Linked DNA regions of Styela clava. The protein of the gene in region 2 purifies or fractionates together with the protein of the main gene of each other region. This does not show direct contact. Links are inferred from orthologs where the notes say so. Each region holds a gene or a part of one and is shown on either strand. Other genes may lie near its edges.

Region 1 (7,965 bases), on a different chromosome or scaffold from region 2:
AACATTATCTTTAAATTTTATAAGCAAAATTCAACAAACCCTGTATTTTGAACATCAAGCACCGCAATTTCATTTATACCAAAGCCTGGAGGAATTCACACAGGAAAATGACAATTGGACTTAGCATCCAGGTAACAAAGATTACCGTGAAAACAATCATGAATGAAAATCATGGCCTCCTAAACAGCCTGTGAAATAAAACTGAATTTTGTGAAAAAAATAGGATTCATATTTATAAAAATACTTATACTTCTTCTTTATCATGTCATATAGATATTAGATACCTTACCTTTGTTGTTCGACTTTTTGTAGTTGAGATTTCTTGCCAGGTTTTACTTCCCTCTCATCATCCAGAAAATCCATGCTGTCTGTTTTCCCTGAAAATAGTTTAATATAGCTAAGCATTGGGTGATGGCCACAAGTATTTCTCAAAAAAGCTCAAGTGACAATATGTTATTAGTGCGTCATGTCATAACATGGGCCTTACAATATAATATAGTCCACTTTAAGGCTACTCAACTGGCAGACCGCAGTCCGAACCTTTCGAGTATTTGATTCAAGCCGCACCTAATTCTTTATTTTGCATCATTAGCCCCACTTTTGAAGTTCCCTTTTATGAAATGACTTTTATAGTTTTGAATATATATGTAAAGAACTATAACACCATAATAAACAATCTTGATTAGCTAATAATCATTAGTGTGCGAATAAGGATGCCGAATATAATTTCTGGAAAGACCAGACCCAAATGATTTTGAAGTTTTGTATGCGGATCTTCGATGAAAATAGTTGAGTAGTCCTGATCTACTTAACGGGAATGGAATGAACCAGACTACAATTATATGCTTGTGATTCCAAGTTTTCAATGATAACAAAATTAAGAATAATGCCTAGAAGTCAGTTTTTTCATTAAAATTTGTTGCAATGCAACAAAATAATCCATGCCATTGAATATTAAAAAAGCAACATGGAAATTTGTGAGCAAATACTGAAAGAGAACTCTGGCTGGAATTAGGTTATTCATATGCACATATTCCTTTTTATAACATTGTTTATTTCAAACCTTTTCGAAATTTTTTCACACTGTCTAAAATTTCCCTTTTCTTTTTCTTTCGCTCTAGTTCAACAGCTTGCTGCACTTTCTTTCCATATTTCTTTAACTTCAGTTGATTTCTATATTTTTCTGCAGATTCTTTACGTCGTTGTAAACTCAGAAGTTTTTGACGAACCTGGATGTAAAAAATATCACTACATGACAAATGGTAACATTATTAACAGGCCATCAATCACAATTTAATTTGACAGTCAAGTAGTCTAAATATGTCAAAAAGCTGAAAAGATACGATTATCTTGTAAGTGTGCTAATATTTTTGGGATGAAAATTTCTTTTTAAAAAGTATTTTTCCCATGTGTCAAATGCACAAAAGCAAAAAGTACATATCACAATGCTGTACCTTTTTCATGTGATCATCTTTTTTAGCCATCTCAGCAAAATAATCCTCTGGTCTTACAGTGGAAATATTAGCAATTTTCAGTAGAGGAATTGCCTTTAATACAGCATCTTTTGCTTGTGTTAGAAACATGAGTTCCCGTTTAAAGTCATTGTGAACAGTAAATAGTCTGCTTTGTGCCTGTGCCTGAGCTTCAGCAGCACTTAATCCCTCTTCAAACATTTCATCAGTTTCTGTAATAAATGCAGGATTTACATATTTATCTTGGATTTCTGGGGATGAGAGATGGTGATAAGACGGCGTAATCATATGGCATACCACGGCCGTGTCCTGTATGAGATCAGTTATTCGTTCAGATGCATCGACTTGATGGCAGAGGAAGCCATAACCAACCAAGCAGTTACGCTAACCCCCTATGGCGGTGAGGAGTCCAGCAATTCTTTTGCACATAATTAATCCTCACAGAATTAAAAAATGAAAACCCACGTAGGGTAATCAGAGGTGCAGGGGTCAACGATGCACCACACCACTGAGCAACAAGGAATGAATATTGGCAATACATAACTAGAAAGTTTAACAAGCTGTTGTTATATTGTTGATCTTGGTACAAATAAATATACCATATTTTGACTTCACCAATATTGCTTAACACTGTTAATGAGTACAATAATAAATGAGTGGAGGTGCAGCAAAGCAATGAAGAGTATAGGAAATTTCATCTGTATTGGGACTATCTTTTGCCATTTTGGTAGTAATATTTCAAATTATCATTATCAATAGATCTGTAGTTCTTAAAGCAAGAGCCAAAACATTTTAATTAATACTTTTTAGCAGTGACGAATTGGGTATTCCTAGAATCCCAGTTTCGAAAAAGTTTGTAGGATACAATAGTTTAGCGCTAAGCACATACTTGATCTTCTTTCTACTGTTATATCAAGCCTCTCTAACCAATCCATATCTTTCTGTTCAATTTCTTCTAATTTCTCCAGAATCCCATCCTAGAATAAAAGTAATAACTCCAGAATTATTGGAAAATTTAGTCATTTCAATCAAATGAAAACATTGCTGATGTCAAAATTTAATACTGAATTCGTTAACTTACCACATTATTGACAGCTGGCCGCTCAGGTTTCGCTTCTGAATATAAGCCTGGTTTAAGCAAACCACTTTTGTAGGCAACTTGTAACTAGAAATGTAAATATAAAATGGATTTGATTGTTATAATATAAGTCCAACAGATTTCGACATCACAATGGCATATTATTTGTCATAATACAATCGTAATTAATAATATGATCGTAATTATCGAATTATAAATTTCAGTCTTTTGCGACATATTTTAATTAAAAAACTTATTAGATATATTCACCTCTCTGTCTGAATCATCAGAATCATCTTCTGCCAATCTTGGATGATGCAATTCATCTTCTTCACTTTCTTCCTCACTTGATGGATAATTTTCCTCTTCTGACATCTTATTTCAGTATTTATATGAATTTGAAGAGATGAAAAGTAATCACACGATTTATTTTAAACAACCTGATAATAAACGGAACGTATAATAAGTTGTGATAAGATGGCTTAATCATATGGTGAACCACGGCCTCTCGTCAGGTTCAGGTCGTGTAAGGAATTAGTTAGCCAATAATTTGTTCCAAATGCATGAACTTGATTCTCTCACACATAGTTATTTCCACAGGACTCAAACTCGCAAACCCATGCAGAGTAATCAGAGATGCGTTGGTGAGTGTATTCCAAGCGCTCAGAACATTGGTTCCTAAAGACGAAGTGAGGTCTGCAAAGCAACTTTGACTGTGACACAGAATTATAGATCTTTAGTAAAAAGCACTCATCAAAAAAACCATCCCCCACCACGTTTTAAAAAAAAATTAGTAATTATCCAGTTAGGGTTAGGAATACAGATTGCGCTGGGAACCGTACGGCACACTATACAGATCGAGCAACATTGTGTCGTTTCGGGATACCCATTTTACAGATGATTAGACGACCCTCCTTCGGGGAACGTCTGAACATGGTTGTCCCTCAATATCGGTAAAACTACAGTAAATTGAAGTTGCGCAAAAAAGTGCAATCTAAAATCGTCATCATTGAATTCCTCGGGAAAAATAATGCGATTTACCAAAGGAAAATTTTTTCTATAGTGGCATTTGAGAGTTATGAACAAAAAACTGCAATTTTGGTCACGTGACGGCTGCGATTCATTTAGATTATTATCAAGACAAGCATGGTGCAATATGACGTATCTGCCGTTGTGCCAGACGACCCTCGTTTGTGAGACACCTGGAGTGTTTGTTTTATTGAACCAAATGACTGGACATTCTTGGAATTTGGATAGTGTGCCGTACGCGGAAATTCAAATTTGCAAATCATTCCTTACTCGAACCCTAACTGGATAATTGATAATTTTTTTACTTAAAGCATGGCGTTTTTTTCTCAAATCTCACATTTTTTGCATTAGTGAAGGGGGCTTTCTACAAAAGATCAAGAAGCACAACTGGGAATGTATCAAGTACAGGCTACGAAGCTCACATTCGTAAATATATATATATGTGTTACAGTCATGTATAAAGGTTTAAATGTTTGAAAATACGCATTCAAAACATCCAATATCAATAAAATTCAAAAATTTACACGCACACAGTCCTATAACGTCAGCAGTCTTCGCTAGTGTTACAACAGACAGCCCCAGTTTCGTCTGTAGACTGTATTTATACAACATGCTGACATGAGCAAAAGTTAACACTGAGCCAAATCCCTTCTAGAGAATATTAATGTGTTTTTCTCGACGTTGGAGCCTTGAAAAGATCGAAATTACACTCCTATCTGCCTATACCGGTAGTCTTTAAACTGTAAAACTTCGCCGTAGAAAATGCGAAAATACGGACAATTCTGCAATTCACCAGACCTCTCTTGTAGTCGAGTTGTCCGTGTACAGTAACTAACAGTTGTTCGCCTCCCGACTTGTAGTACAGTACAGCAGTACCGGTAGTCGGCTGGAAACCTAAGCCTGGATCTCATTTGCATTACGCTCTGCCACATCCCTGCATTACTCCCATAAAATTGACATTATACAGCTATATGACTACAGTTATACAGTTATATGATAACCAAATACCGCATCCATCAAGTTTAGCCACTTCTGCTACGGTTGTTTCTTGCAGAAGCACGAAAGGGATATGGGCGCCGCCATTTTGTAATCATGCACGCCATCTCGCGGAGATCTGTAAATAATGGTGCAGCAACTACCGATGGACAACGATCGGGATAATAACTACCGGTACGCGAAAGTAAATGGCACATAACTAAAGTTCTTGCAAACAAGGCTAGGCCTCACAGCCAACTGAGTAGCCTACGACAACTCAAAAATTTTCCTCGAGAGACATATTCAAAAGTCAAAGAAGAGTACATTATATAAAAATAATATCAGCAGTGATTTATACTACTGAAGTATACACTCAATAAACAAATGGACAAGCTCGGTAAGAAGGTTTAACTTTCAATCACAAAATTCCAAGCTACATACATTATTTATTCATCCATGAGACAACATTAGTTTATTTAGAGAAAGTATTTATCTCGGCATTGGGACTGTATCAATATCAATTGATCTACAAGACTTGGTATAATTTTTTAGAGTTTAAAAAGTATTGATTAGAAACACAAAGCAAGTCCGCTATCAACTAATAGCGAGAAGAGGCCGTTTATCTTTCAGTTTCGCAGCGCACATAAGGGAACTACCTGAAACTGATTTTAGGAAGTTCCCTAGAAAGTTAGTAACAAATAATGACTTGTTTCCATTTCCGAAAGTTGCACGTTTTACGGAAAAGGCGCTGTTTCTGTAATGCGCGTTTGTGTGAAGGACGGGAAAATAATCAATTTTACTGATGTCAGTTTGTCTAAATTCATTCGAGTCGACAAGAACCTGGGAAGCAATGATAAGTTATGCCGGAGTTGAACGAAAAGTAGCATTAGAAGCGATTGAGAGGTGTGAAATCAAGTTGTAGACAGACAGTAGATGTTTTAAAATATAGTCTATTAGGCATTTCAGACTGTGATATATCGAGATTCAGTGTAGATGTAGTCTAGTATGCAAACACTGCAGGACTGTAGTGCATCAGATAAAATGCATTATGTATGAAAAGTATCAGTCAGTATTTAGCGGTATTTTTACATGCTGTTCCAAATATGATTTTCTTCCTCATTTTAGATACTGTACAACAAACGAAAACGGCAATGTTCCACCAATCCAACCTAACGCAGGCTCTAATCCGGGCTGCTATCAGCGCTATACCTGTAAGAATAAAATGAACCGAACAAGAAGTCTTGAAGAAAAGCGTAAAGGTATATGAGAAGATGACAGTTGCAAACAGCTTAGATGGGCTATTCATATTGAAAACTTTGGCACATTTCTGCAATTGAAACTGCCCATCAAACTGATGTTGGAGAACTTCATTGAGTTTTTCAATTCATGTTTTCCTCAACTATGAAGATCCTATGAGATAGACGAGTCATTAATACATAAAGATGAGTAATTTGTTTGTTCACTGTAAGAAGAGAATATGAAAAATGTAAATGATACCAAGTCTTTTGAAAATTGGCAAAAATATGGATTATACTTTTCCTCCCAACAATGATTCACTGAAGAAGCATGTCCTGAGGGCAAAGTACCAGGCAGGACTTCATCATTGTTGCCTAGAATTGATGGATCTACTTCCAGCCCCCAAATCGATTCTTGAGATGGCAAATTGCAAGGGTAAGAAAAATTGATGTCAAAATAATTTATTCATGTGTGCCAAAAACAACCTAAATTGCACAGATTTTTGCATTGACTGCAAAAACCACAGTACATTTATAGAGGAAAGTCGATTTTCGAGAATGAGGATTTCGGAAGCAATTCAGAGGAAAGTGAATTAGATATTGAAGTTAATAAATATTTTTCATTATTTTTTTTCTTCAGATATCTGTTAGTGTCGTAGGTCCTGTTTCTATAAATAATATCGCCTTTGTTTCAAATGCACAACCACCAAACTGAAAAAAAAAACTAATTGTAATATTGATGTTCACTATGTTATGTACATACTGTATTCATTTGATTTTCTTGACTTTTCCGGTAGATTTCTCTGAGTAATAACCGATTTATTTGTGTTTTTGTGCTCACGATGTTAATTTGTGACTTTATTGCTTAAAAATGAATACGTTTGATAGCTTAACTATAAAATAAATGCAACTTCTTATGCTGTTCTTTGTTGTAAACTGCTGTCTGAGGAAGTCTGATTTTGTTAGACAAAACGTTACAGAAATACATTTGTGTTAGTGTGCAGCAGGGTTCTTGAATTGCATAGCTCCTATGCTGTGTTGCTGTAAACCTATGGTCATTGATTATCTGGGAATCCCCTTATGTTCAATTTTGCATCAGGATTGTGGAGCAAGCTGGAATGCGTTCAGTATGTTCATTTTCATACAAAACTTTATTTATTTAATTACCAGGTGTGCGCTACAAAACTAATTTTCTGGTCGTTTTCAAGGCCTCTTCTCATGTCCTATATTCATGGTATGGATATACAAGTGTTTAATAACTTACTTATACTTTTTAACACCGGCTTAGTATAACTTAACTAATACAGAAGATCAATGCTCAAATATATGGACACGCAAAACAATTACCCAAAAATCCTATGCGGTGACTTAACAGTACCTGTATCGGGATACCGTGACGGTACAGGAACAGTCATAGTTTTTTTTCGGTCCTGTGACAATGATCCAATCTTCTTGATTATATTGAAACAATAATTAAAATATCTCGTGATATGAGTTAATTATGTATTACCGGATAGGTACCGAACCACAGTCAAACATTTCACATAAAAAACGTTACAAAATAATATGCGTCAATTTAACAACACCTGAATCGGAGTACAAATTTTGGTACAGTGACTGTCATAGCCTTTTAGGGCTGACGGACAGCTTACTTACATAAGTATGCTTACCAGTATACTTGTCATGTCAGTCGCTTCTCCTTTGCGAGACAGATAGACCAGACCGAAATTTGCAGATCCTGTGGCGATTTCGTTTCAACATGAATTGAAAAAACCCACTTATTCGATTTATCATGGTATTATAACAGCAGATACCACAGTGTACAAATATATTGACACCAAGCGAAGCAGTACGGTACGGTTCACCGTACCTTTAGTATCACCGGTAACCTCATAAAACTTCCGAGTTTTGAGTAGCAAGAATTTTCAGAATGCGCCGTCACGCTCGGCAGGTTAAAAACAGTGTTCCCATAATATATTATACACTTAAATTTTGTATGAAATAACAGATTTTATAGAATTCATACAAAATTTAGAGATAAATAAAAGTAATAGCCTTCTGGAGAAAAATTCCATCCTCAACCACTGAAAATTTCAAAGAAATTGGTCCGGTAATGAAAGAGAAAAGCGACTTTTTCATAACGTGTCAAAAAACAAGAATAAGAACAACAAGAGAG
Region 2 (8,014 bases):
GTCAATGTCAAATATTTTTTTCGAATTCAAGTTTAGAGTTTATTGTGGAATATCCCCAATGTTCTGAGTACACAAAAATTTTACATCTGTAAAACATTGTGATGGTATGGTAACCTAAATCTCCTCGCAGCATTTTAAATCCATACTAAGATACAAATTTGAGTAAGAGAATTGAGTTTCCAACCTTAGAGTCTTCCTCATCATCGTCGTCGTCATCATCATCATCGTCATCGCTGTCTTCTTCTTCCTCTTTCTTTGCATCTCCAGCAGCTTTCTTATCTTTCTTCGTCTGTTGATGAAAATCAAAGCGTCATGACGAACTCGAAAAAAAAACTTCGAATTTCTAGCCTTGAAATTTTTCGGAAACCATCTTATGATGGAAATTTTGTGGTCAAAAATTGATTTCAAGTTGACAACTCAAGTTTTAAATATATATATATATATATAGGCATATATATGTTTCAACATATAAAGAATAATGAGGTTGAAGTATATGGAACCAGTTTGGATTCAATTAATATAACGATAGATTGCAATGGCACTAGACCAAGCCCTAGTTACATGAATTCACGAGGAAATCCGAAAAATATATGTTTTATGTAAGTTTTTCATTCATTACCTCTTCCTCACTGTCATCATCATCATCGTCGTCATCATCATCACTGTCTTCCTCTTCGTCATCAGCTTTTGCTGCATTTTTTACTTTGCCGTTTGTTCCTTTCTGCATTGAAAAAAATTTTGGTTATCATGGCACCTAAATAAGTATTTAAAAGGTACTTGAGCAGTTACTTTGACTGTTTTTATTCTCATTTGATAATTTGGTTTTCTACAACAATGAACATTCACAAGATATCACTTTACAGAGCATAAGTATTTGAACCTGCCAAACTAGATTCCAATATTTGCAAAATATTTTGGTACTCCTACAGTATGCGTACAAAGATGGCGGACACGGGAACGTAGTATGTATACCAGATTAGGGTTATGCCATAATTTCAGGTACAAATGCTACGGGAGTCACTTGGCTGTCCCTGAACTCGTAATAAAACTAAAATAAGGAAAATTGAAATAAAATTATGGCCTAACCCGAACCTGGTACACATACTACATTCCGGTGTCCGCCATCTTGGTTCGCATACTACAGAAGCACCAATATTGTTGTGTAGGCAAGGGCATTATATGTGTCAAAACATTATCTACATTACCATAGCTATAGTATTTATATGTATACTGTATTATTTATCACACATTTTCGTCCTGTCATACAACATAACAATCTTATTTTTGCTGGCGAATTTATTACCTTGACTTCCTCCTCCTCATCACTATCGTCATCATCATCATCGTCGTCGTCATCACTGTCTTCTTCCTCTTGTTTCTTTGCCGCTTTTGTTGTTTTCTTCTTTTGTGTTTTTTGCACCTGAAATTTGATATGGTTGAATTGTTATGCCAGCTGAAATGAAACACCCTTACATCACAGATTTAGTAAGGCTTGGACAATAACACTAATGAAAATAAAAAATGGAAGATAGGTTTTTCATATCTGTTTCACACCTGCATCCTGAATAAGACTCACCAGCAGTCAATAAGCATTTGGAATATTGGCACTCCAGAAGTGTGTGTACCAATGTGGAGGTAAATAATTTTGTTCGCCTACTTTAAATCAAGTTGTGTAAAGGGACTGAAACCTATGGGCAGGGGTTATATTCACTTGGCTAACACGGACAGTCCCCGAACACGTAATATAACAAAAATAAGAAAAATCGGAATTAAATTATGGCCTAACCCTAACCTGATACACTTACTACGGGAGAACCAGAATATCATGTGTTGAAAAAACAGGAATTTTCCCAAGTATAATATTACATCCAGATGTTGAATACTTTTAGTAGCAAAGCAGTGGTACGCAAAACAAGGCTTATAAGCAAGGTATAGCCAGTGGGCTTAATAATCTCAGTAAAAAACAAGGAGTCGCTATTAAAAATGCTCAATAGGCAAGTCAGGGATTGGGAGGTGATTCGAAATCACAGAGGCTTTGGAGGTGGTTCGAAATCACAGGGGCTTCAGCTTCGGCCCAATGCCCATTGACGCTTTTAGGTGTTACCACTACCATTAAACATCAGCCCAAATGCAGTGGGACTTAAAAATATTACATAAGGATTTCAAAATTAAACTTTTAAATATATAAAATTGAACATAAAATTTAGTTTATATGTATGAAGTATTGGAAAACTACTCAGATGGTGAGGAAGTGGAGTCACTAAAATTTCTGGTAGCTACGGCACCATCTGATATGATGAGCTTGGCTCAAACTCCACCAAAATGCCACAGCTCCATGCTTCCATTCTCGACTCCAGCCCTGAGGCAAGTAATCAAAATACGAGTAATACTGGACAAAACTGAATCTGTCATATTTCTGAAAATCTATACCTTGACTTCTTCCTCTTCCTCCTCACTTTCCTCCTCTTCACTACTTTCTTCTTTCGGTGGTGGATCAGGTTTTACCTGTTTCTTTGCTTTTGCATTTTTTGTTTTCTTGTCTTTTCCCTATTAAATGATTTTGATAATAAAAATTAAAGTTAAACAAAAATTGAGGATTCTATATGATACATATATATGACAAATAATAACAATGTTATACTAAGACAAATAAATACGACAAGTATTTTTAATGAGCTTTCAAAACTTGTTTGTGATTAGATCTTTAGGAATAGCAAGCCATGAATCTGAATCATCAGTTTTACCCAACAAATACTTTTAAACAAACTGAACAAGATTTATATAAAATTGATAGAATTATAATTCCAAAATCCTAAGAAAAATAGAATACAATACTTAGACAATGAAGAATACTCACTTTGGATTTCATCTGGACCATTGTGATTTACAAATTCTGATGTTAAGTAATATAGGTGCTTTTGTACCTTTTAGTTATTGGACTGTTAGTTAAGTTTTCTAAAATTCAGAATCATAAGATCAGGTAAATAAAATTCTCAAGGCCTTTATTCTCGGAAGGACAAGTTTAATTGATTGGAATGAGTCATCCAACTTAAAAATTATAACATATTTAAACTCTTAAGTGGGGTTGAACGGAAAAACATCAGTACATCATCTGTTGAAGGGAAAGACATCATAAACTCAATAAATATTGGCGCATCTGGCCATAATACACAACAGATTAATACATCTAATACAATCAGATAAATTTATTATTATTAATAAATTCCTAGATTGCAAGTCCTAGGCAATGTCTCTAATACAACAGTTAAACAAAAGCATAGGATATTGAATTAGATGAAAAACGTGTTTATTATAAATGATCATTCGTTTTTAAGAACAGATAATAAGGACAGAAATATGAAATTCATATGTATATATTGTTATTAAAAGTCAAAATTTTACGACATTTTACAATCATTGTACTTTTCGTTTTCACTTTTGAAAACTAATTGCTGAAAATCATTTCGCAGTGAAGAATAGAAACTCAAATAAAAGGATTGACAAAAAGCACTTTTCTCCGCTTCTGAAATTCCTGTATATAAATGCAGATAAATATGTGGAAAAAAATTGATATCTGGCTCAAAATTGTGGAAAACATCCATTCAATCCTGAAATTGTTTGGATGAATTGCCAAAATTTAAAACAAACAACAATTCGTTATCAATGGCCGATGAAGGCAGATTTACTGAAGATGCCCAAAAATTACTCCAGAGCGTAACTTACGTTGATGGGACTTTACTGAAGATGCCCAAAAATTACCCCAGGGCGTAACTTACGTTGATGGGACCAACATCAAATAATTGGAAAAATAAAAACGAAAATTCAAGTAATCTACGTCAACGGACAAAATAAGCAAATGCTGTGGAATTATGTGATAGCCTATATTAGATTCTGAGATTCATGCCAACTGTACTACAGTCTACAACCACTCAATGCCTGTCAGCCGGAGGCAAATCATGATTTTTAATCCATATTTAACCTTTTATTTTTTTCTGACATGTTACATGTCTTTTAATTTTTCTTAATACATAAAACAATCAAAAAAACGCTTTCTCAAACACTCATGCGATTATTCAAGAAACCACAAATGACAGAAGTAGAAAACAACAGATACGCCTAATTATCAACAATATACAATGAAAACTAGGGCACTGTAGTTGTCATATAAATACAACAGACTGACAGAGAAACGACCGCGCAATGGCCGACATCGAGCTTACCGTAATTATTTATTTATTTTCTGAGGTAGGTTACGGTAGCATTCCTCATCAATTTTGTTAACGTCGCATAACCGTTGCTACTTCTATATCAATCATAGCCTAAGTAAAAAACATTATTATACCATTATCCGCAGTCGTCCCAAATTCCTTCAAGTGCGTTCTGACAAACACGCATGCAGTTACGAAACAGCCGATCGAAAAAATTCCGAAAGCCACGGCGCTCCCACGTGCTTGACTTGCAGCATGAGACCCGCAGGCAGTGCTGCGGAGACACTAAATTGCAGAAAAAGAGACCGTATATTACTAAATTAAATATACGTGTTCATGGTCGTTATCGAAAAAGGCGCAGCTCAGCAATATTAGTCATGGTAGGCAATAAAAATATTCTTGTTGTGACTTATCAAATGAATGTATAGCATTAATTACAATTAATTAAGCAATAATAAATAGGTTGAGTTTAGACCAGTTTTCGAAATTGAGTGGGACTTAAATCAAGGTCTCCCGGATCCTCGAGTGATAAATTTATTGATTCGTCAACTAAAAACAATCATGAATGGAAGTAAAAATTGGTATTGATTTTGCATATGCCAAATATTCGGTAACAATGTTAGCGGAAAACAACGAATCAAACAAAACCACGCGTTCACTGGACCGAATCCGGACCTTTCGAGTATTTGATTCGGACCGCCCCTAATTATTTATTCTGGATCATTAGCCCCACTTTTCAAGTTTCTTTTTATAAATTGACTTTTATAGTTTTGAATATATATTATATGTAAAGAACTATAACACCATAATAAACAATCTTGATGAGATAATAATCATTAGCCGGTCGAGGAAGTGTGCGAATAAGGATGCCGAAATATAATTTTTGGAAAGACCGGACCCAAATAATTTTCAAGTATTGTATGCAGATCTTCGATGAAATAGTTGAGTAGCCCTGCGCTACACTATACAGTACTAGGGTTGCCAATTGCCCTATTTTTCCCTGGCATGTCCGGGATTTTAGTGGTCAAATTTGCGTCAGGGAGAAATGTTAAAAAGTGCTCAAATATCAGGGATTTTCGAATACAGTGAATCCTGCTACAAATACTCGAGCATTCAGATATTGCGCATCCACGAAATCCTATTTTTCAGAGATATGTCACATGCTAGCATTTTTGTGCAACACAGATTGCGTACCTCAATGATTGTACTACCATTATCTGTACAGCACTTTATTCCGTGTTAGGGTTTAGTCACTAGTGCTAAAGATTAAGCAACAATTTTGTTCTGTATTTATTCTTTTCTCGCGAGAAAGCGACGATAGGTTGTGCCTTTGGATACAGCGTGAATTTGTACCGTAATACCATGTTATGTGGTATGGTATGTTAGTCGTTGCGTAATACTGTACAGCAGCGTTTCCCAACCTGTGTTCCGCGAGCGTCTTCGAAGTGTTCCGTGGAAAAGGAATCTTAATTTAATTACGATGACGATCTAAGAATCGTGAAATTGTCGCCCAACTGACCGTTCTATATCGCGTCATTGTCGGCCTAAAGTAGACTAACTGTAGACAAATACTAATACGGACTAACTAGGGCGAAGTAGTGGCATTTTCGTTAACCGTCGGCCTGGGTTGTTGACTGTTAAGTTCATTAGAGAGAGAGAGAGATTTATTTTTTCGTCAACCAAAAATAACAGTCATCGTAATAATAATAAAAAAAAAAAATAACAATAAGAAATAAATTAGTTTGGTATAGACAGGAGGGAGTGATACGACCGGATGGTCATCAAAGTCAACTCCCCCCCTTCAAGCTATTATGTTTAAGATCCACAGTTTCAGATGACTAAAATATTGGGGAGGAACATTCTAGAATTTTAAATTATATTCTCAAAATAGAAGAAAAAAATTGGGGAGGGGAATGCTAGAGTAAATCATTTTTATTTATTTATGTGGAGCGGGATTTCAAAATCTGAAGAGATTCCAAAGGTTACTGAAAGAATTTAAATAATTTATACGCATATGTGATGAATTAGCAGAAATGCTTCATTTCATGGCATAGGTACGCATTGAAGATGTAACAAACATGATCTGCTTTGATTTGTCTAGATTAGGAGGGGGAAAAATAGTTAATAGGACCTAACAAGCATTATTTCAGCATAATGATCAACAATTTTTTGCTTGCAGAGGGATGTCAAAGTAGTATATAAAAAGACAAGTGAAAGATAAACAAAAATGTAAATAATTATAATAGTATGAGTTGATGTAACAGCAAATCAAATGTTTTTGATTTTTCTATAGGCAAACAAGTAGGTTTAAAGAATAAAGGCAAAGGGCCAACTGTTCTTCCTCCATCTCTGCCTGGTTTTACTTTGAAATGCTGAAAAAATTATTTATTTTCGGTAAACTCTGTTCAGAAAACAAGAGAGCTATGCTCAAATATATGGACACGTAGCGCCACCCAATGGCAATGATTTTGGTGACGTCATAGCGAAAAAAAAAGTAATAGCCTTCTGGAGAAAAATTTTATCTTTAACCACTGAAAATTTCAAAGCAATTGGTCCAGTATTCGAAGAGAAAAGCGATTTTTTAATGATAATGACGAAAGAAAACAAGAGAGCTATGCTCAAATATATGGACACGTAGAGTCACATTAATTTGATGACGTCATAGCGAAAAAAAAAGTAATAGCCTTCTGGAGAAAATTTTTATCTTTAACCACTAAAAATTTCAAAGCAATTGGTCCAGTATTCGAAGAGAAAAGCGACTTTTTAAAAACGTGTCAAGCGGTACTGAGTTAGCAGTCAGGCAGCATCTTACCTGTACACTGTAGGCCATATACGGTAATTGATCACAGAACAGAGTTCCCTCGCAAATTTTATGTTGTTTACACTTTAGGACAGATAATTGATCACAGAACAATTCTTCCCTTTCAAATTTTATGTTGTTTCCAGTAGACTCTCATCAAAATAAACAAATATAGTAGGCTACAAGTGCTACAACGCTTGCATTACTGCACTGGTAGGACCGTGAAAGATTAAGTTACGGTAATTTCATTGTGGTAAGACACCGGTACCGGCACCAGTACCAGTATCGTACTTACGTACTGAGCTACCAGTACCGGTTAGCAGTCAGCCAGCATCTTACCTGTACACTGTAGGCCATATACGGTAATTGATCACAGAACAGTTGTTCCCTTGCAAATTTTATGTTGTTTACACTTTAGGACAGATAATTGATCACAGAACAATTCTTCCCTTTCAAATTTTATGTTGTTTCCAGTAGACTCTCATCAAAATAAACAAATATAGTAGGCTACAAGTGCTACAACGCTTGCATTACTGCACTGGTAGGACCGTGAAAGAATAAGTTACGGTAATTTCCTTGTGGTAAGACACCGGTACCGGCACCAGTACCAGTATCGTACTTACGTACTGAGCTACCAGTACCGGTACCGAACCTGTAGTAAAGGGAGAAAGAGATGAGATGCTGATGATGAGATATTGACTATCACCCTATATATTTAAGTTCTATTCCCGCGTTATTGTTTTGACACGCGTTATGGAATGTGACTCCAATCTGGACTCCTTCAGACGATAATAAGCACACAGTGTTGATGCTAATCGTTGTTGTATATTATAGGAAGATGCACAATCCAAATTCCGAAAACAGATAAAATTGAGACACACTCAACTCTTAACACAGTAAATCAGGAGTGAATCAAAACACATCACACTTAACGCAGTAAAACAGAAGTGGATCAAAACACATCACACCTAACGCAGTAAAAACAGAAGTGGATCCAAACACAATA

Evidence for each region. The genes of interacting proteins can lie anywhere in the genome.
Region 1: the proteins of nucleolin-like (region 2) and putative rRNA-processing protein EBP2 purify together in Homo sapiens (affinity purification with mass spectrometry; 3 studies listed by BioGRID and IntAct, with this or other methods). This does not show direct contact. The link is inferred for Styela clava from reciprocal best matches to the Homo sapiens genes NCL and EBNA1BP2.

What each region holds. Positions count from the first base shown.
Region 1 is NC_135259.1:3,406,641-3,414,605, forward strand, and holds the start of putative rRNA-processing protein EBP2, read right to left. Parts: upstream 3,015-7,965; 5' UTR 2,926-3,014; coding exon 2,821-2,925; intron 2,638-2,820; coding exon 2,554-2,637; intron 2,450-2,553; coding exon 2,362-2,449; intron 1,685-2,361; coding exon 1,455-1,684; intron 1,230-1,454; coding exon 1,064-1,229; intron 378-1,063; coding exon 290-377; intron 1-289. UniProt on the Homo sapiens protein: Required for the processing of the 27S pre-rRNA.
Region 2 is NC_135256.1:11,322,723-11,330,736, forward strand, and holds the start of nucleolin-like, read right to left. Parts: upstream 3,024-8,014; 5' UTR 2,879-3,023; coding exon 2,858-2,878; intron 2,548-2,857; coding exon 2,431-2,547; intron 1,421-2,430; coding exon 1,304-1,420; intron 722-1,303; coding exon 620-721; intron 290-619; coding exon 185-289; intron 1-184. Other genes in the region: uncharacterized protein LOC144425124, read right to left, coding at 3,399-3,532, 4,343-4,493, 7,348-7,365. UniProt on the Homo sapiens protein: Nucleolin is the major nucleolar protein of growing eukaryotic cells. It is found associated with intranucleolar chromatin and pre-ribosomal particles. It induces chromatin decondensation by binding to histone H1.